3 linked regions of the Astyanax mexicanus genome follow. The main gene of each other region encodes a partner of the protein of the gene in region 2 in a complex. Links are inferred from orthologs where the notes say so. Each region holds a gene or a part of one and is shown on either strand. Other genes may lie near its edges.

What was found.
Region 1: snrpd2 (region 2) and snrpd3l share a complex: the UniProt entries of both Homo sapiens proteins name them as parts of the SMN-Sm complex. The link is inferred for Astyanax mexicanus from reciprocal best matches to the Homo sapiens genes SNRPD2 and SNRPD3.
Region 3: snrpd2 (region 2) and cwc15 share a complex: the UniProt entries of both Homo sapiens proteins name them as parts of the minor spliceosome. The link is inferred for Astyanax mexicanus from reciprocal best matches to the Homo sapiens genes SNRPD2 and CWC15.

Annotation. Positions count from the first base shown.
Region 1 is NC_064424.1:38,884,112-38,891,252, reverse strand, and holds the start of snrpd3l (small nuclear ribonucleoprotein D3 polypeptide, like), read right to left. Parts: upstream 3,183-7,141; 5' UTR 3,061-3,182; intron 1,192-3,060; 5' UTR 1,181-1,191; coding exon 1,055-1,180; intron 418-1,054; coding exon 225-417; intron 1-224. UniProt on the Homo sapiens protein: Plays a role in pre-mRNA splicing as a core component of the spliceosomal U1, U2, U4 and U5 small nuclear ribonucleoproteins (snRNPs), the building blocks of the spliceosome.
Region 2 is NC_064416.1:9,430,573-9,438,363, forward strand, and holds the start of snrpd2 (small nuclear ribonucleoprotein Sm D2), read right to left. Parts: upstream 3,042-7,791; 5' UTR 2,914-3,041; coding exon 2,912-2,913; intron 1,617-2,911; coding exon 1,437-1,616; intron 177-1,436; coding exon 2-176; 3' UTR 1-1. Other genes in the region: foxg1c (forkhead box protein G1c), read right to left, coding at 4,943-5,671. UniProt on the Homo sapiens protein: Plays a role in pre-mRNA splicing as a core component of the spliceosomal U1, U2, U4 and U5 small nuclear ribonucleoproteins (snRNPs), the building blocks of the spliceosome.
Region 3 is NC_064408.1:38,128,870-38,137,022, forward strand, and holds the start of cwc15 (protein CWC15 homolog), read right to left. Parts: upstream 3,183-8,153; 5' UTR 3,085-3,182; intron 2,994-3,084; exon of another isoform or gene 2,975-2,993; intron 1,592-2,974; 5' UTR 1,582-1,591; coding exon 1,451-1,581; intron 1,015-1,450; coding exon 908-1,014; intron 748-907; coding exon 650-747; intron 1-649. UniProt on the Homo sapiens protein: Involved in pre-mRNA splicing as component of the spliceosome. Component of the PRP19-CDC5L complex that forms an integral part of the spliceosome and is required for activating pre-mRNA splicing.

The DNA of each region.
Region 1 (7,141 bases), on a different chromosome or scaffold from region 2:
CAAATATTCTTCACTGCATATTTACCCTATTCATTTGATAAGTGCCACCACATGGAGTAACGAAACAGTAATGTTAGTAAGTAAAATTGAGGATAAATATTGAAATTTATAAAATCAGACAAGGATAAAAAAAATAATAATAAAAAAAAAAAGATGAAAGTAATGAAAATGCATTGAGTATCAGAAAACTGTATACAATCAACTACGATTATGCAGTGCCATACCTTGTGCTTTAAGAATAGCTGCCTTGCCTCTCCCAGCCCCTGCTCCTTGATTCTTATTTTTCATGCTCTTTAACATTGGAGCGTTTTTCAACATATCCGGTAGGATGAGGAAGCGGATTTTGCTGCCGCGAATGTAGACCTGCTCCAGCTGCGACACTCTGCCATCTCGGTACGTCACAGTAATATTCGACATCTAAAATCCAAAGGCATTAGTATTCATTAATGCAAACATTATTTTAATTAATACACAGAAAAAGAAAGACAGGAAGAACAGAAAACTGTGCAATGCAGTTACCCCTACAACTACATACACAAGTTGCCAGTTTAAACAACTGTATTATAGGTCCACTTGCTCAGATACACCTACAGTGTGGAAAGTACAGGGCATCTCACGTTGCATTATGATACTGTGATTCTGCAACACTATATACTGCAAAAGAATTCTCAACATCTGTGTAACTGAAGAGGATTAAATACTCCTAAATAAGCAAATACCAGGAATGTGTTTATGGGTGTTAGTTTCACAGATCTAAAGGAAGTCTTAGGGAGTATAGAGGACCCTTGTTTCAATAGAAAATATCCATATTTGATGCCATGTATCAATGTATTATGTATGCAAACTATAAAACACTAATACCAATCTTTTGTTCCACTCCTAGTAAAGAAGTTTATTTACATTGTCAAGAGTGGAGGTGGGGCTGGCAACTTGGGCATAACAGATGGGACAGCTGAAACTTGGTTACAAGCAATAAGTTTACCCAAAACACAAACAAAACAAAACTTTTCAATTGGAAACAAAATAACTACATGACAAACAGTGCAGACATTACCTGGCAGTTCATATTATCTTCAGCTTCTATCAGTTTCCCCCTGTACACCTCACCAGTATTGGTTTCACAGGTCACAATGTGACCCTCCGCTTCATGAAGCACTTTGATTGGTACACCGATCGACATTGTTCAGATATCTGCAGTAAAAAGAAAGGGGGTCACCACAGGAAGGACTTCAGTAACAGATCAAAAGAGAGAATTTGCGAAACAATTTAGTCCAGCTCAGCACAACGTAGTTAGCGCTGTGCGATTTTTCCTGATTAATTCAGTTAATTCCAATTAGTTTTAAGGCAATTTACAAAACGCACGCATATATTTCTTAAACTATTTTTTTCTTTACATGTAAACCTAGTTTTGAACCATTTCTTTGCCATCTGTAGTTTGATTTTAGTAGGGAGAAATAATCAAACATAAATCAAAAATCTTTTTTTTGTGTGAAAAAAATCTTTTTTTAGGCCATAAACACTCAGCACTACATACAATATGTCTAGAATCTTAAGTTTGCATCTTTAGCTTTTAGTGGAGTTAAGAAAACAGTTTTAAACATATTTGATGAAGTATTTTTCAGCCATGTTAGCTCCATTCCATCAGACAATAAACCAACAAAGACAGCACAAATACATTACTGGCCCACAATTATAAAAAAAATAATAATAAACTTACAGAATGGCATTTAGCAATGCCAAAAAAAAAATCAAACTAAGCCAAATATTACACCCTTTCCAGAGAAGAGCAGTGATGCACTTCTGTACAACAGACATCAACCTTTATCACCAACAACTGGTTGAACCATTTACTCAAGCTTTAACTTTCACTCAACTACAGATTCAGGAAACCATTAATCCACAACCATTACATTTAATATGTGCATACCTATTTAATAAAGCTTTCATTGATCATAAAATGAACTCTAGTTTTAAGAACTGGAATTTTCTAGCAAATACATGGTTTGGGCTAGGGATAGGAGATACCAATATTTCAGGGATTTTCTTTTGTACAAATACATTATAACACTGAAATACTAAACCTTATTTTATTATTTTCAAGAACAGACAACTGCAAATGTTTTATTTCATGTAAATATAAAAGGGTTCAGACATTCAGCAGAAGCATAAACAATCTGACCAATTATTAAAATTAAAAACTACTGGATTTAGTAAAAAACTAAATTACCAAGATTGTTTTGTATAAATTATGAATAAAAAGTACGATTTTATACTCTGTACGATATGCTGCGGGTCACACCAGGCGAGGTTTTTGTCGGTATAAGTAAATAAATGTTTTTTTTTGTTGTTTAAGAGTCATCTGCACCTTTCATTTTATTGTTGGTTAAAAGCTAAAACATACGGGTATAAGCTCGCTTTTAAATTTATACAGGGATGTGTAGTCTTTACGTTATAAATGTGTATATCGACATCGGCATGTTTAAGTTAGGTTTGTAATATTGGAAATCGTCATTAGCACAGAACTCACACATCGGTGCATTTCTACTCTTTATCTTACATGTTAAGGGAAGATTTAGTCAATCTGAAAGATTATTGTAAGTCATTATCATAATTAATACCGTTTGATTATAGTTATTTAGTAGTGGTATAATTAGAGCAGTTAACAGATGTTGGTAAAGTTTGTCTGTATCTGGGGAGAGCTGAGTATTATATTTAGCATCTGAGCTAAACACACCTCTAACTATACAGCATATATTCTCCCGGAAACAGACAATACTATCCAATAACTACAGCCGATAAAGCCCGAAGTAGAGGTATGTTTAAGGGTGTAGGGAATACAAAGGTGGTTTAGATGTAGATATAAATTTTCCTGTTTTAGGCTTAGAGTTTAGCTTCAGTAGCTAAAGCTAACAGGCTAACAGTACAGAAAGAGCAATAAATCAGCGATTCTCTGCTGCACATTTACAGTTAATAAAGCCTGTATAAACTCGGCTTTACCCACAGATACAGAGTAACAGGATTAAACCGGGTAAAACAATGATATAAAGGATATTTCTGTACCGGAGTCTTTGCGCTGAGGAAGTCTTTGTACCCGCTCTAAAGCAGCGTGCGCGTCCGAGCAGCGTTCTCCCGCTCCCACAATGCACCTCAAATACACCGCCTCACATCCGGGCACTTCAGCACTGCATTGTGGGAATGAATGGTAGTTAAGAACGACCGTGGGCGTGTGGTCAGGGAGGAGGTTTGTTAACCACCAGGAGACGTTTCAGATACCGTCCAAATGAATGGGGTCCTATAAATCAGTTTCTCGTTAGGCTTGTTTGAGGTACGGCTGCACCTGCACCACCTGGGGGGTGGGCGTTTCGTGAAGAAGACACGAAACACTTTTACCAGCACTGAAACACTTTTATAAACTGCGATTTCCTGACGGAAACACCCCACATGATGCTCAGCCACTGCCCCGCGGACAGGACAGGACAGTACAGCAGCTGAACCCCGCTGGGCAGTAGCAACAAAGACAATTACTGCTGCTCCTAAAATGCATGCCAAAAAACATTATATATATATATATAATTTGTTTTGTCCATAACTCGACTCTCTCTCGGAGGGTCCGCAACAAGCACTACCTGCAGAGGCGGTTCTTTAATTAGGCAAACCTAGGCATTTGCCTAGGGCGTAGATCAAATCTGTCCTCCATAGTGGCCCCCAAATCTGACCATCCCAGCAACAGTAAATACACAAAAACAATGTTAAGTTGTTACTTATGTAAAGAAAAGAACAAAATATTTATATTAAAAATATCAGTAGAATACCGAATTAATGTCTAAATAATAATTGTCCAAACACACATACCCCCCTCCCTTGCTTGCATTGAACTAGTCCATAATATGATGACGTAGCAATGTGCCACACAACGTGACTTCAAACCAAAACAGCGGGAACTGTACGCGACTAGAGTGAGGGCTGTCACAGTGAAAATGAAGCGGAGTTATGAAAGTGGTTCTGCTAAACGAAAGAAACGGGCAGAGAGCAAAAGAATCAAAGATGCACTGCCAAAACTGACCTTTTTTTTTACACCTCCTGGACCGATCAGTGTTTTTGGGGCCGATTCCGATCGCTGATCGTCTTTTACCACGATGGGCCGATCGTCGATACCGATTTTGGGCGGGGCCAAATGCCACATTAATGACACACAGGTGCCTGGCAAACCTGGTACAGATTCCCCTAATTACATCCACGCCTAAAGCAAACACTGGTAATTTACGCTGCTAGTAAATAAACACAAGTGTGACTGACCAAAATAAACGCTTTTTAGGAGAGATATAACTTGTGTGTAAAGGAACTGCAGCTTCCTGTAAGCGAGCAGTTTCACCGGTTTCACCAGTTTCATCCACACACAGCTCTGATAAACTGCTTAAGCCGATCGCCGATACCGTATTTTGGCTGAAAATTGTCTGATACCGATACACTGCCGATCGATCGTTTCATCTCTAGTTATTTGGTTTATGTGTGTATGTTTCAAGAATGAGGGCCCCTTGTTTTTATTTTGCCTAGGGCCCTAAAATGGCTAGATCAGCCCCTGACTACCTGTGTGTTAGACCCTCCCTTTTAGTCAGAAATCACAGTTTGTAAAAGTGTTTCAGTTCTGGTAAAAGTGTTTTGCGTCTTGAAAATTTGTTTCAATTTTTGGAAATTTGTTTTTCTGAAATGTAATGTTTTTTTTTTTTTGCCCATGTAAAATATTTTTTTCTTTGGTAATTTAGTATTCTTGAATGTAATTATTTTTCGTATGTAAATTTGTAATTTTGTAATTTACTTTTCTGAAATGTTTATTTGTTTTGCACCTCAGAGCCACCATAGAGAAGTCAGGTCGGACAGTCTCCACCTGCGACCAACGTGAACAATAGCGGATCTCGCGATGATTGCGCTGTTTGCTTACTTCTGGTGTTTAAAAAAATAGTTTATGAGTGAAACAGAGATGACATGAGTGTTATTAAATTGAGATAAAAAAAAATTTAAGTATTCACAAACCATACTGGCATGTTACAGATGTATTGTGTAGCACTAAATGAATAATGGGATTAAACTGTGCATTATTCAAAAGTCTGTTCTTCAGACACAGAAAAGTACATTTTTTAGACACTGAAGATGAATCACACATAACCTTTAGAACTTTGTTTTTTTATTTGCAGACCAGCTTTTCTGTTCTTTGTTCTTGGAAATAAATTCAACATCATGCTCATTTACACAGCTTTAATTGTTTAGTGCATTTCGCAACATAATATAATATATGGAAAGAAAAGTAGATCTCAGTGTAATAGTTATGTAGTGTTTTTAAAGAAAATTCAGAAGGCTTTAGAAAACAGTAAAAACGTATACCATTTTTTAAATAGTTTATTTAACAGGGACAGTTTACATTAATTTACATTACTGTAAATGCACCAGAATTGGCCTAAAGACAATTTTTCAATGGTGTGCAGTGAGGCGCTTCTAACCCTTCAGAGAAGAGGTGACAATAAATTCATGCAAATAATTACATAATTTAATCATAAAATATATATCATAGCTATTGTAGGTGTAAGAATTTCTTTTATAAATTAACTAAAATAAAAAACAGCAACTAATTCAAAGCATTAGTCTTTGTTTTTCAGTTGCTACAGGACTCTTATCTGACTAAAAGCGGTTGTTGGTGAGGACCACTAAAGGACTGTATGTGTGGGTTCTGATGATGGGATGAGTGTTGTATGGGGGGTGTCGGTTAGAACACCATGAAGCAGTTGTCTCCTTTTCGTTTCTTTATTAAACTTCACACTTCAATTACATGTGCAAGAGTCTCAATGGTGTGTGGTTTGGTTGGAATACACGCACACAACTCCTCACATGCTATTCTCTTGAGGCTGTGATCTAGCCAACCTGAAGTGGTAATTTGCCTGGAGCAACAGAGTAAAACTAAACAGCAGTAGAACTAGACCAAACTGCACGTGAAGGGGGCGGGGCTAAGATTCAATGCCAGAGTCTTTCTTACAGCGGTACTGAACAATAAAACTTTTTAAAATGTCTTCTGCCCCCACGTGACTGCGTGCCCCATCTCCTGATTTTTGAGAAGGGTGTAGTAATGTTCTTTTGTGACTTCCTGGATAAGTTGGCCATGCCCTTTTGGAATAATTTTGGTCAGTTTGTTTCTCCTGGAAAGGTTCACTAGTGTTCCATTTTTTCTCCCAAAGCTTTGGAAATGACTTTATAACCTTTTCCAGACTGATAGGTGATCAATGACTTTGTTTTCTCATCTGTTTTTGAGTTTCTTCAGATTGGGACATTATGTGATATATGTATGACTGTATATGTATAATTTTTTAGATATTTTATCTGGTTAATGTTGTTAGACGGGTTCTATTTAATTGATTTCTTGTTTCTACAGGTCTGGCAGTAATCAGGCCTGGTTGTGGTTAGTATTTAAATGATACAGCTTTCCAAAAAGTGTGATTAATTGCAGTTCATTAATGGGGGGCAAACACTTTTTCACATAGGGCCAGACTGGTTTGGATAGTTCTTTTTTCCTTAATAAAAAGAAAGGGTGTAAGGGGCAAATACTTTTTCACGCCACTGTACTGTATATATATGTACAAACTCTAAATAAGTCATAAGCACTGAATACTGTGTATTACTTATATAAGAGGAAATTATAAACGATTAAATATGAACCTACCTGACCTACTTTATATGTAAATGGTAGTATTTTTCACATTAATATATATTAATTAAGGTCTGCATTTTACCCTTTTATAACAACAACAGCAGCAGCTGCGTAGTCGTGTACTGAAAAGAGCGTTCTGCTTTACCGGGCGAGAAGTGCGTCCTCACCCCGAAACAGTCCAGAACTCTACAGTTTAAGTATGCGATTTCGGATTTATTAAACCAACTCAGCTCATGGCACTGAAGAAAAACTGAAATATATAGGTATGTTTTATTTGCTATACATCAGTGTAGTTTAAAATGAAATGAATAACCCGGCCAGATAAATATTCAATATTTTAATTTAAGTTTTGACCGTTTAGCTCCGTTTACTCCCATTATTATTGGACTCTCTATTATTGGGCTCCCTCTAGCGGCCCGTGCAGTCACTGTCTGGTGCTGATAACAC
Region 2 (7,791 bases):
TCTATTTGCCGGTGATGAGAGGGTTCCTCAGAACGACGATGACCGAGTCTCCTCTCAGGAACATCTTGGAGATGTAGCGATCCTTATTGACTGGTTTGGACTTCTTCTTGCCCTTTCCACTTTTGGGCACCTCTGTCCACATCTCCTTCACATTCTCCAGAACCATGTTACAATGCCTGAAAGCAAATAAAACACAGAGAGACTGTAATCCACTAACAATCACAAACACCAGTCTATCTGCCTGGGTTGGTGTATATATTAGGGAAAATTAAACAGTTTTTGGTAAATTCTGTGCAAAATTAATTGGTTTCACAAAAATATGGTAAAAGGTGGTAAAATGAACCAGACACGAAAACTGTCAAGTTTTTTTATAAATAAAAAAAAATAATTAACATGAGTGAGGAATCCATATAAAGATGATATATGTTTAGACTTTCTATTATTTTACCATCATGAATGTTCCATATAAAACTCAGACACGTGCAAGTTCACTAGTACTCCATTTGCATTTAGGTCATGGCAACAACTGGATCACTTTATTGCAACTGCAAAGAACTAATAGCCCTTAAGTTTCTTCTCAATTAATCACAATTTCACACCAACCTCACTCTGCAAAATGTTAAATGGAATTTTATAAATTTAATACAGTTTTCACATATTAAATTATCTATTTTATCCCACAGGAAGAAGCAAACAATAACACTCAGAAATTATCTATGTCAATATTGGATCAGATTAGTTTTTGCCAGCCTCTAATTTAATCTCATATCCACCACAAGTTTTTGTGTTCACTCATCATCATCATCATCATCTTCATCATGGCCTTAAAGCCCCTCAAGAACACTTACCAAAGGTCAAATGGCCTCCAAAATGGTACTCGAATTACATATTCCACATGATGAACACAAAAGCAGTTTAATAGAGATAGGTAGTACTGTTTCGAATATTTTTATTGCTAAATATTTGTACACAGTAAATCTATATAATCTGGTTTGCAGCTCAGAAGGACAACTCAAATGACAGCAAAGTGAGTGCAAATGCTACAACATCCCCATTTATAGGCAGGGTTAAGTGTAATGGTTGGCTGTAACAATTACTGCACTAAACAGTCAGTTCAGTTGTATACTAAGTGCAGCAGAAAAGTGAAAAAAGGCTCCTGTTTCAAATACTGTGCATTTAATTTACACGACAACATAGAAAAGCAAATCACAGCTCCAACAAACTCACTCAGACTTAATTGCAAACCTGTTTAAAATACATTAAGCCACCTGTGTACAAACCATCAGTCAAACAATGCAAACATACAAACCATTACTTACACACTGTAAAAGTGTTAGAAAATACCTTAGCCTGGCTAGCACCTGCTTCACACCAAGAATGAGATTAATATAATAGAAGAGCAAATTCTCCTCTGCACACAGTTCAGAGTATCGTACCTGTCAAACGCCTTCACTCTGCCCAGCAGTTTCTTGTTGTTGCGGCAGTTAATAAGGACCTGTGTGTTGTTTTTGACGGACTGTGTGAGGACGGACAGCGGCCCCGTGTTGAACTCTTCCTCCTCTCGCTTCTGAAGCTCCTCAGGAGTCATCTCAGACTTCGGTTTGTTTAGGAGACTCCTGAGACACAACATGTTATTAGCATTTGTGGAGGAAATTGGACACTGATTGGTTTGAGCACAGTATATTAATCTTAAAAAACAGTGTTTAATTAAATAGTTTTAATTATAGTTTCATTTTCCCCTCACATATTACTATAAATTAATGTTTAATATTAAAATAAGTTAAACTAGGTTCGGATTGGCTCTTTAAACCAGTTAACTAAACATCAAATAGGAAGGATTTCTTTTTAATGTTTGAAACCAAAATACAAAACTATGAAAACCAAGCATTAATTTAGTCACTAGACTATTGACTAATCGGGAAAAATAATCTTTCAATTAATCAAAAACTATATAATAATAAAGGTAAAAAGGTTAATTAAGCAATAAGAAAATAATTGTTTGCTTAACTGATAAAACCAAGTATTAGATTAAAAGTAAATGTATATATAGTAGATCAGTCTATACAATTGCATTAGTTTAATCTGTAAAAAAAAAAACAGTAGATTACTCAATCGTAGGCTAAATGGTAGATTAATCAAAATAAATAATTGTTAGATTATCAGAAAAAAACTTTAGATTAAGCAACAAAAAATATTCAGATCAATCAAAAAAAAAAAAAAAAAAAATATATATATATATATATATATATATATATATATATATATATATATATATAATTTTTTGGTTTATTGTTTTTTTTATTGTTATATATATATATATATATATATATATATATATATATATATATATATATATATAAAAATAAAAGTAATACTTCGGTGCAGCCCTTAAACTGAAGTTGGCTTTTTGTAAGAATTGTCTATTTTAGCTACATTAATGGTGCAGAAGAATTGCTGAGGAGCCTGAATGTACAGATACTTCTGCCCCATTTAAGGTGGAACAGACAATTCTAATAAGCAGCTCACTATTCTTAATTTAACTCAGAACGAAAAAGCACAATACAGGAGTTAAATTGGATAACTAACGTAAGATAACTATCCAGCCAAGATTTACAACAACTAAACAGCAGAAGAGAATTATTAGAGAATTATTTAACATTATTAAATACGCTTATCGACATTTTAGTCTAATTTAAAAGTAGTTTTAAAGCAATAACACAATATTCAGGTCCTCTATGGGCATTAAATTTATTATATTTAAGTAGCTAAGCTAACACCTAACTTACAACTGCTAAATCTCATGCTGCTGCTTTTGTGTTTCTACGGCAGACGTTTAACTCCTGTAACCAGCCAGGCTTTCCCTAAAACACCCAAAATAACAGTAAAATCGTTTAATAATGTAAATACTCACATGTTTAGGGTAGTAAACTCTAATTTACTCTGGTATAAACGGATCTTTCTCTCTCTGTGGGTAATTCAGCTTCAGCGCGCGGGTCACGCTCACAAAACGCAGCGTTATGGCGCCGCTTCCTTCCGGGGACTTTTATTATATTTAATAAAATAATATAAAAAAAGTCCGGAACATGTTTTAGTTTGTCGTCGAATAAACGTTTAAAAGTCAGGAATTAATTTTTACTTTTTACATTTTTTGTGTTATTATTTTACATGTTTAGTTGTATTATATATGTGAGATGTATTATAATATATTATATATATATATATGTGTGTGTGTGTGTTTGTGTGTTTAGTAACAGTATGTGCTGAAAGAATGAGGTCAGCTGACTACCTGAATATACTGAATATAGACCAGATTGAATGAATGAATAAATTAGGGAGAATGAGATCATAATTTGCACATTTGGATAGTTCAGTCCTTAACCTCATTGAGAATCTTTGGGATGTGCTGGAGAAGGCTTTGTGAAGTGGTCAGACGCTCCCATCATCAATGTAAGATCTTGGTGAAAAAATAATGCAACACTGGACTGAAATAAATTGTGACATTGCAGAAGCTTGTTGAAACAATGCCACAATGAACGCAAGCTGCTTGGATGGAGCTGCTCGGTAGAAGAGTTAATCACTTGTTAATCCTACCTCTTATTCCACACATTTTATAGAGTGAAAATCTGCACACATCTGCAGTTTAGAAAAAACAGGAATTTAATCAGACAAATGCACAAAGACATTTATTTCACATACATGACCATCAAACAAATGCAAAATAGTTTTACAGTACATTATTTTGTTTTTGTAAAAAAAACAACAAAAAAAAACAAATAAAAGCAAAACTAAAAATATGTTTTAGTCCAGGTTTTTTTAGTTTGTTTATAAATATATTATACACCAACAAATATATAAACACAACAAAAATACATTACCATTAGATTTGAAGTTATAGTATGTGTGTATAGTTATATATTGGAAAATCCATGCAATTAGTCAAAATATAACTTTTAAGAATGATAAGCATTTACTCACAATATTTCAGGCATGCATTACATAAACCGTTTAGACCAAACGAGATAGCATTTTGTAATATTCAGGCTAACAACAATAACTTTCAAAGTGTACTGTGTTCTTCATAAGTGGTTGTTAATTGATGCTATAGTATCACAGTGTGTTCTATTGGTGTTCTAATGTGGCAAGGGGGTTGCTATGGTATTTTAGACAATACCATATTGCAATGTGGTTGCTAGATGTTTGTTTAGCAGTTCCAAAATGTGTTATAGTATTGATGTTATAGTGGGCTCTAGATGCCACATTGTGACAAAGTGGTTGGTATGGTATTCAAGTCATTTGCCATAATGTTGCATGGTGGTTGCTAGGCAGTTGCTATGTTATCCCAAATGGTTGCTTTGGCATGCAAAGCTACTATACTGCATACTATAGCTGTTTGCTATAGTAGACCAGGTGGTTGATATGGTGTTGATAAGATGGGTGCTACATTGTGACAAGGTGGTTGGCATGGTATGTTAGTCAGTTGTCGTGATGTTGCTTAGTGGTTGCAATTGTATCCCAGGTGGTTGCTAGGATTTGGATAAATGGGCTCTACATGGGGGCTACCTTGTAGCAAGGTGGTTGCTCAGGTTTTGAAGATTTTTTTCAAGATTGTTTTAAGTTATTGCTTAGTGGTTGGTATTATATCCCAGGCTGTTGCATTGGTATTCCTATGTGGTTGCTAGCTGGTTGCTTTGATATCCCAGGTGGTTGCTACAGTATTACAAGGTGGAGTCTAGATAACTACTACATTGTGGCAAGGTGGTTGCTATTGTATTTAAGATAGTTGCCATGATGTTGATCAAACCTTGGACCTTGAAAATGCTACGCAATTAAAAATCCAGCAGAACAGTTATGATAATAATATTAAGAAGAAGAATGTAAATCAGAACACAATATAGTAATAATATGAAATAATGAACAAGATTTATTTACATACAAATTTAATTTAAATACAAATGTGCCAATACGAGCTGGTCATGCTGGGATGATACGTGTATGCAGGGTGAATAAGGGCGGGGTCAGTGTGGAATTGCTGCAGGATTCCCATAGGGTGCGCTGTTCCCTCAGAGGGTATGGCATCTTTCCTGGCACTGGAGCAATCTGCCACCAGGGCAGGTTGGCCGGGCATTACCCCATTAGCACCCATAGCAGGAACCGAGGTTGGCACAAACGATGCAGTGCCCAGTCCGGCAACCTCGGATCTGGTTCCTGCCCATCTGTGACCCTGCTGGTGGGCAGACACTGGCTGCTGCAGTGCCAGGAATGATGCCATGGGCCAATAAAAGGAGCTGGGCAGTCCAAGCCCCGCCTTCCACTTCACTATCTTTGCAGACTTATCCGCCCGATTAGCCGGCTGGCACTGTGTTAGCTTGCCCGGACTTCCACCAATGTACACCTCACTGCACGGGTCGATCATCCAGTAGCTTCCCTTGCCCGGGTCGTCTTGTGGGCGTGGCACCCGGACGAAGCACTTGTTGAGGCTCAGGTTGTGGCGGATGGAGTTCTGCCAGCCCCGCCCCTTCCTGCTGTAGTACGGAAACCGCGACACAATGAAGTCGTAGATGCCGCTGAGTGTAAGCTGGCGGCGGGGGCTGTGGGCGAGCGCCATCACGATCAGGGCGCTGTAGCTGAATGGAGGCTTCTCCAGCAGGGGGCACTCCATTCCATCTGTCATTAAGGATTCCTTTGGGCAGGCCCTGCCTCTTTCAGGAGCCCTGAACATAGACAGGTGGAACACACTTTGTTTGATTGACATGTTTATAACAGCGATATCCAGTAAGAAGTTATAATAACCTTAAAGGAACAATCTGTAGTAAATGAAAGCAAGTGTGTGAAATGGCTGTTTTTGTGCGGTTGTGTTCTGTACCTGGCAATCCGAGATGTGGAAATGTATTACCGTTACATACCACACAGTTCAAATAAGAAAATACTGACTAAAGCTCTGCTGATAAGAGCTGTCGGTACTTTAACTCAGCATGGTTCCTTAATATCTGATGATACATCCTAATCATGTTATGAGTTACTTCAAAAATTTAATCCTTAATGGTCCTTTAATACCAATATTTAATATACAATCCATCTAACCTTAATATTCATAATATGTTTGCAATGACACATTGTAATTGTAATGACATAGTATCTGGCATTAAGTTCTAATAACAATAATATTCAGAATAATGCTATAATAATAAAATGATATCTAGTAAATCCAGTCTAATAGCATAACTATGCAGTATAAAATTATAATTATGTTAACATCCAGAATGAAGTTCTAATAGCATTTATATCCAGAATGAAGTTATAGTAATATTAATATCCAGTATGAAGTTCTAATTATGTTAATATCCAGAATGAAGTTCTAATAGCATTTATATCCAGAATGAAGTTATAGTAATATTAATATCCAGTATGAAGTTCTAATTATGTTAATATCCAGAATGAAGTTCTAATAGCATTTATATCCAGAATGAAGTTATAGTAATATTAATATCCAGTATGAAGTTCTAATTATGTTAATATCCAGAATGAAGTTCTAATAGCATTTATATCCAGAATGAAGTTATAGTAATATTAATATCCAGAATGAAGTTCTAATAGCATTTATATCCAGAATGAAGTTATAGTAATATTAATATCCAGTATGAAGTTCTAATTATGTTAATATCCAGAATGAAGTTCTATTAGCATTAATATCCAGAATGAAGTTGTAATAGCATTAATATCCAGAATTAAGTTGTAATAGCATTAATATCCAGAATTAAGTTATAATAATATTAATATCCAGTATGAAGTTCTAATTATGTTTATATTCAGAATGAAGTTCTAATAGCATTAATATTCAAAATTAAGTTATAATATTAATACCCAGTATTAAGTAGTTATTACATTAATAACCAGAATGATAGCATGCTAATGGCATTCTTATCCAAAACTTTAATAACATTAACATCAAGTATGAAGTTGTAAAAACACTGATGTCCAGTATGAGTGTGTATTACTTTTCTAATTACATTCATATTCAGAATTAAGTTCTAATAAGGTTATGAATGAATATCCAGAATGAGCTCAGCTGAATTCACACTGGATTTTAAACTGTATGAGATCTCTTTCTACACACTTTATCACACACTTGACCATACCTGTCTACCTGTACACAGGTGTGAGTTCACCAAGCAGCAGCCAGGAAAGCTTCCCCTCAGGGATCAATAAAGTAATATATACAGTGACAGCAGGAGGTGTAGAGTTCCTCATCCTGGATATCAGTATCACTGCACTGCTGGGATTTCAGTGAGTTTCTTGGGTTTGTCTGAATGCAATCCAAATTGATTATGAATTGAATTATTCTTATATTTCAGTTAGATTAATCAAACTAATTCAAACACATAATCAAAGGTGGTTGTAGAATGGATAAATGGATAAAGCATGCTAACAAATAAACAACTGAAAGCTCAAAGTAATATTTTCTCATTAAATTTACAAAACAGATGCATTCCAGAGCTGTCATATAAAGCTCTAGATAAAAATAAGAGAACATTTAAACAGTATGAGTTTCTTTGATTTTACCAAATTGAAAACCTCTGAAATATAATCAAAAGAAGATGGATGATCACAAGCCATCAAACCAAACTGAACTGCTTGATTTTTTGCACCTGGAGTGGCATAAAGTTATCCAAAAGCAGTGTGTAAGACTGTTGGAGGAGAGCATGATGCCAAGATGCATGAAAACTGTGATTAAAAATCAGGGTTATTCCACCAAATATTGATTTCTGAACTCTTAAAACTTTATGAATATGA
Region 3 (8,153 bases), on a different chromosome or scaffold from region 2:
ACCCCTCCTTGATAGTCTCTTAGAAGCCCCACCCACCAAATTTATATGAAAGTAACAATACTGGGTTCTCAAATATTGACAAACCGCACAAAATAATAGTGACCTATTTTTGTAAAACAGCAAATGTACGTTTTCCACCCATCAAGAAGCAAAGAGCAACATCCTTATGCCTTATTGCCATGCCTTTCAATATTCTTAGGGCTCTCCACCTTCCATGGGCCTCAGCAGAATTTGCATTTGTCTTGCCTGATCTAAAATCTTTTTGTTGGTTTTTCTTTGTCAGAAATGTTACTTTTTGGCTGTTCCTTAGCCTCACGTCTCTCACTGTGTGTATTTTAACATTTTAACGTGAAACACCAACAACAGTAAACTAGTAAACCATAAGGAAACATTCAATTAATTTTACAAAAAAGTATATAAAAATCACATTCTGTGCCTTTAAATCAACCAGGTAAAACAAACCAATTCCCATAAAGGTATGCTAACAGAAATGTTAATCTCCAGTTTAAAAGTTTTCTTAGCTTCCTTCCACAATACTACTGTAATAAAAAGTGTCTAATGTCTGGAACTAGTTTTGTTTTAACTTTGTTTTAAAAATGCTATGCATCCCGTACTCTCCATGCATATACTTCACACACAGAATACATACATCTGTAAGCGGGTCATCTGCATCAAGATTAGCTGCGGGAATCTGATCAAGTCTTGGTCGTTTGGAGGATGAAGATGAGGAAGAGGATGTGGTATGCTCTACAAGGCAAAACAAAAACTCCTGTTACAGTCAGATACAGAGTGTGTGTATATTTTACTTATATTACAATAGTTTACATAGAATGCCGGATTATCAGACTGCATTTTTAAACATCTGTTACACACACACACACACACAAAAACACACATTCTCCCTTACCCCTGGCTCCTCTCTCTCTGCCCTTCACTGCGACTCTTTCTCTCTCCTCCAGCTCACGCCTGAAGTCACGGTTGCGGATCTCCTCAGGAGCATCCTGTGTGGGCTGCCTAAAAGACACAACACACACACACACACACATACTTAAATCGCAATCCATTAAACACAATCAGTGTCTAATACAGCACCTAGACCCAGACAAATCACTGTTTACATGTGTTCACTTTGTTTGGCCATATAATATAAATGAAACATTCACCTGTAACTTAAATTTAAATGTAAGAGAAATAAATAAGTAAAAAGTACAATTACTACCTTAGGTGTGGAATGTATGATGGCACTATGACTATTGGTTTTTACACTGACAGAATGGGGTTACTATTATAGTGAATGATGCACATAACCGGTCACGTGATATGTATTTTTAGGTGGGTTATTGCGGACGAAGATTATTTTTAAGCTAAAATGCTTATCAGCACATAGATCATTCTGAATTTAAAAACCCTTTAAAAATGAGGGCTGTATGTTCAGAACAAAGGAGCTCACCTGTATTTGATTTTGGTATGTCCAGGCAGGTCTCTGCTAGAGTACTGTTTAGAGAGCGCACTCAAATCACCCTCTCCTTTTCCCCGCCCCCCTCTGGCGGGCTCAAACGTTGGCCGCGCTGCTGTGGTCATCCTGGGTCACCTGCAGGAGAACATAAATACACAGATCAAATCAACAACAATACAGACACTACAAGGACAGTACCTGCTTTTCAGCTCTGAATGTTTAATAACAACTGAGATGGAAATAGAGCACCTGTAGGCAGGGCTACTGTACTAGGTTGATGGTCTAGCTTTTTTTATTTAAAAAAATAAAAATAAAAAAACAACAATTACTGGCTGATACCAATATAATTCGACATAATTGCACATCACTTGGTATGGCCAGTATTTCAAACTGATATTTCCTGAAGTATTTATTGCATGCCGGAAAAGGTCAGAGCAACGCTAGTTGCATTACTCTAAAATGAATTGATTTAAGCTCATTTTTATTTATTTTTATTAGTTTTAAATCTATAAAGTCCCAGTTGGGTGTCTAGTCTCTCTGTAAGTTATGAATGTGTATATAAGCACTGGAATATGTAATTGTGTAATATCGGATATCAGCATCAGTCCAGAATTCACCACATTAGTGCATCCCTACAAATGTCAGCATAATCAAAAATATCTGTGTTAAAAAAAAAAATCATCATGTACGCTTTATTTATAGAAGCCCCTTTACATCACCTAAAAGAACTATAAAAACATGCCCTAATATATAATAATATATAATTTCAGCATTATCACACAGTACTCACAATGTGGGAGATGCAATGTCATGTAAGACTAATTAAACCATTCAAGTAAGGTTACTTTTTGCAAAATAGGAAATACCCACTGTTCTGTTACACAGATGGCATTATTAATATATGGATATATTGGACCACTTACTCTGGACAAAAATTGGCAAAAAATAATATATATTGTTTATTTTGCAATATATACTGCAACATTTTTTTCCAATATTGTGAAGCAATAGTATGACACCTTTTTCCCCTACTAAAATCTAATGACTTTAAGATTGCTGTCTAATTTGGACATAACATCACGCTGTGTCCAAATGATGATCTGTTATGAATGTATGTAGGAGGGATCTCCTGTTGTTTACTTCGGGAGTCTTAGATACAGCAATGGTGTGTGAAACTACCGCCACCATGTGTAAAAGTTAGCTCACACGTACACTGTGAACTGTTGACTTGCTTCAGGACGGTTTTTTTTTTGTTACAGATGAACATAACACAGGAGTCACACACACACAAACAAAAATCTGACTAAGCTACATATCTAACCCTAGCTAGGCAACAAAAACAAGCCACGGCCCTCCTCTTAAAATAAGCGAGTCTTCCAGAACATGTTTTACCGCCCTAATGGAACCTGAACTGGTTCACGTAAACTCGCTTTTCACACTTTAATCCACCCAGCCTCCAGTCGAAACACAAACAGTCAACAAAACCGCGTCTTTTTAAAGCAAAGCTCTGAAATTTACCCTCCTACCGCTCACCACAGAAACCTGTAGACTGAGCTGAGTCGCAGCCCGCGTTTCATATTTCTAATCTGTTCATTTTAAACAAATAAATAAATGTAAAAATGTCTCACCGTCGCCTCACGCAGACCTACGATATCCCGGCAGCCCTCGCGGCTTTGCTACGGCAGCCTGCTATGGACAAACGCTCCAGGAAACAAAAGAGTCCAGTGAAATCCCACAGCTAAAGGCCAGGTTTAGCATGCTCACTTAACCCAGGAGAGCCCATGGTGATGTAAATATGTGTTACAGAACCTTTAAAATCTGTGTAAAGTTTCTCACAGCTCTCTCTCCCTCACTTTTTAACTCATTAAGTCCCTAAATGACACATAGTGAACATCCATCACTAAAGGACATAATAGTTTGCACAATTAAGTGATTTAAATTCCATATAAAAATTCAGTGATTTTAAATTCTATATGACTAGTTCTCACCTGATTATGATGTTAAAATACCAGTTATTAGGTTGTTGTTTAAGGCAATAATTATAGAATAAAATCAGGGTTGTTAGCCAGCTGCCACTGTTAGTATACTAACAGGGATTATATGTTCACTCAGAAAATAAAACTGAAATAAAACAAACAGAACAAAACATTAAATCAAGTTTTATAAATCACACAATTATGGAGACACTGAAAGCCCACATGTGTTACATACACATTCACATCAGATTAGATATTACTGACAGTTTTCCTTCTAAGAAACTCTACAGTGAGTTTCTCACACTTGCAAACTACTCTCAAACTAATTTAAAATAAATAGAGCTGTGGGAATTTTTTAAATTATTTTTCTCAATATCATTAATGTAACTATTAATGATTATGATTTATATTATAATCATCTTTATAATCATTATAATATATTATAATCATATTTAATAATTACTATTAAAAATTATTATAATATAAAAAAGTATGTGAACCTTTTGGAATTCCATGGTTTTCAGCAAAAAAATGTCAAAACCAAGCTGCTGAACATCATGGACAATGTTCACCATCCTCTGTACAGCATCATCACCAGGCACGCTGTCCCATGCTGTCCCAGTCCTGCTCCACAAACAGACTTTTGTCTCTCAGGCCATAAGACTGTTCAACTCCTCTCACCACAGCAAACTAAAGACTCTGTGACACTTTTTCATTCCGGCAACTCTGGTCACTCTATGGACACACAACCATCTCTGCAGACACACCCTCTGAGATGCACTATTACATTATTTTTACTGTTTTACCCTATTCTGCACTACTAGTTTATTTATTGTCCACTGGTTACATATTTACACATTTTTATATGTATCATTTTATTGTTTTCTTCTTTTGGAACTTCGGTGTACTGTGTATAACGGCTACTGGATGTACAGAATTTCCCTCTGGGATCAATAAACTAACTATCCATTCATCAATCCATCCATCCATCCATCTAAAAATGTCAAATATATTGATATATATTATATATATCAACGCTCAAAGTGGCATTGGACAGTAAGTGAACCCTAGTAATCACTGGTTGATCCCCACCCCCCTCCAAATCACATAATTCAGAAGGAATTTTAGCCCATTCTTCTTGGCAGAAGTGCTTTAGCTCTGTTATATTCCTTGGATGTGTCAAGTGTCTCTCTCCAAGTCAATCCGTAGCATCTGAAATCTGGGGCTCTGACTCATACCTGTCAAGTCTCCCGTTTTGGCCGGGAAACTACCGTATTTTACTCCTCTTTCCCGCCGTCCTCCCGTATTAGTATTTTCCCGTAAATTTCCCGTATTCTATTAAAATAAAAATATATATATTATTGAGGAGACAGGGCACTGACCGCTCTGTGTCTCTTAACCAATCGTGGAGCCGATTCAAGGAGAAAGCCCGCCTTTCAGGAGAAACAGCCAATCAGCTTGCAAAGGAGGGTCAGTGTGGGGAAGCCCCCTCCGTCGCTGTGAGTTCAGGCAGCTAGTCGGAGCTGCTGATGTTAAAACATATCTGGATATTCAGCGATTTTTCTAAAAGAAAGGTAACGGTAGGCTAATCATGTAAACTGTGATGATATTTTTCTGATAGCTGCTTAGAAATACTCGTCTCCAAAATAAAACACACAGATTAAACCTTTTAAAATAAAAAAATACAGCTTGTGACTCAGTTTAACTAGAAATGTGGAGAGAACCGAAATTAACTGAACTAATCAGGGGTGGAGTGATCAAAAGGAAGAAGTATTAATTAAAATTTATTGTGTAGGCCCCTTAGGACTAATTTTTACTGATGAAACATATCTGGTCCATGTCCTTTTAGTAAAAGCTCATGATACTATTTTTAGGTCACCAACAGTAATTTTGCAGAATTTGTGCACCCTTTGTTCAATTTTAAATCCATTAAATATATAAAAAATATATCATATAAAAGAGTGCATTTATTACAAAAAAGACATGAAATCTTAATTTCTTAAAAAATATATAGAAAAGGGTTTTTAATTTGGCTGTATTAAAAGAATGACATATGTAGGAATGTCCACAACATTTCAGATTCTGATAATCTAATTGTAGTGTGTAAGTGGTTCACTTGTGGTTATTTTAGATTTTTTGTAAACCTGTCTTAAAATGTAAGGGATACTGAACCTTCGTTGGGCTGGTGGGACGGCTTTAAGCGTACAGAGGAAAATATCCCTTATTTTTAAATCTAAAACTTGACAGGTATGCTCTGACTGGGTCACTCCAATAAGCAGATTCTGTTCAGAATTTTTGCTCAAGTGTTTTGGGTGTCTCCTCCCCTAACCCAACACAAACTTCATCCAAACAGTTATACATTTATGTACAAGACATGTAAGTCAATATGACCAATGCAATTGTATGTAATTTATTAATATCATTACGTCATCAGTGTGCGGTTAACAGTTTGTTGTCCATCTCTAGTCTGTCAGGGCAACAAGTTTTTTATCATAATGTTGCTCAGCCCTGTGTCCTTAATGTTCCATATTTCTTCAATTTTTGTACTAATTTTTGCACCAGCAGTTATCTCCCTCTCACCCAGCATACTACTTATGATTTTGTAGCCCATTCCAGCCTCATGCATCTTGTCCCTGACATACTTAGAAACTCTTTGGTCTTGCCCATGTTGTAGAGGTTACAGTCTGAATGATTAATTGAGTCTGTAGACAGAAGTCCTTTATACAGGTGACAATTAAGGACAGCTGTCTTTAATGCAGGTAACGAGTTAATTAGGAGCGTCTAACTGGTCTGTAGGTGCCAAAATTCTTAATGGAATACATGGCTAATATAGTGTGATTTTCTGGATTTTATTTTGACATTCTATCTCTCATTGTTAAAATTAACCTTCCCCTAAATTATACACTCTTCATGTCTTTGTCAGCGGGCAAATATACAAAATCAGAAAGGGATAATTATTTCCCTTACTGTATTTATATATAAAGGTATGAAACCACTGGAAATAGTGTGAAGGTGTGATTATCTCCCATCACATCCTTCAATGCATATAAACATTCTATATTAATGTTCTATTCCTGTATAATATTTACTATGCTTATACTTTTGTTTAGTTTATTCTGGTGTGTATTTAATTCTTATAATCGTTGTAACTACAGTTGTTACTACATTATTAGTTGATGGGTGGGGGTTGGAATGGATGGACTGTTCCCACTGCTTCTGCTGTGTTCTGCTGTAAGGGAATCTATATTTAACAAACAGCTCAATAAAATAAATCTCATTAAGTGCTGGAGCTGAGCGAGTTTAAAGGGGGTTTAGCTTTAACTCACTGACACTGATCTGTTTTACAGGGAGGAAATAAATCTGACAACAACTGACAGTAAATTAGAGACAATCCAGTCTCCAGAGAACCCTTTGTTCTGGTAGATGATATGTGTGTATTAGTCCTAGATAAAGACAAAAATGATGGTTGAGCAGCCAGCAGGTGGCGCAGTTCTGCACCAGCTCTCTTTATAACAGAACTAGGACAGTGAGTCTGCCCTCCCTCAGTTTTAGTATAAAGTATGATTTTCATAATTCGACCGCATCCATCCATCCCTTTTTAAACATACAGGAGCATTTACTATTTTACCATTTAATAGCCATACGAAAATAACAGCTTGGCTCGAGGATGTTTTCATAAATCAGAACTGGAAAATGTGGTATGAACTGCTTATCAACTGTTACCTTTTTAGATTTGAAATATTATTTTATATAAATCTTTGTATTTCACATTTATAAATCATCCCTAAAAAACTCAACAGGATGTGGGGAAAACGGGTTTACTCTGCCTCATTATCTGGGATTCTGCTATGCTTTACTTTTTAGTGTGCAGAATTAAATTTTTCCAATGCTGTGGTCAAAGCTAAACTGCCATTTAATTGGATAAAAGTTTTCTCTGCCTGGCAACAGATATATCTCGGTCTGTTTTAAGTGCAAAACTACACAAGCGAGGTCCAACTGGGTTAAAACATGCGCAGGAATAATATTAGTTAGCCTAAAAATGCTTACTTCCTACCTTTACATCTCCCGACTAATGAACAACTGCAAGCTTCCACTAGGGAACCCGTTCTCCTGAACGGAGCAATACATCATTTGTTACATTTTTCTAAAAAAGAGCAGGACAATCCCATAAATACGCTGGAGTGGGCTATGGAGGCTGGAGTTTAGAAAATTTCGCAGGTTTTCCTCCTCCAACAGACCTGCTAAACCTGGCAATCAGTAAGAGAGTTGAATAAGGTTGGATTGCGCCTGAAAAAAATAAAATACAGAACTCTGCAGGGATCTGGTGCTCCAGCGCTGGAATTAACACAACCCAAGCTTTACAGACTGATAATGATTCTCTTACAGGTTATAAATTAAGACTACTGTTGTTTTTCTAATAATTATTCTAGTCACTAAAACAGTTTGCCACTTCGAAACAATAATGTTAAAAGGAGTCGTTTAACCTTCATGTGTACCCCTTTCTTTAAACCTCCACTCCTTGTTAGCTAAAGCTACATTAGACTTATTAGACATTCTGGAATCTTCTGCTTAAATAAATAAAACACAAAGGAATTAAACAGAAATCACAGACTCGCACACACGGTCAGGGTTTTACTAAATTTATTATTCCTGAAACGTCTGTCCTCTTGGGGGGGGGAAAAATAAATGTACAAAAGTGTGATCACAGTACAAAGAATTTC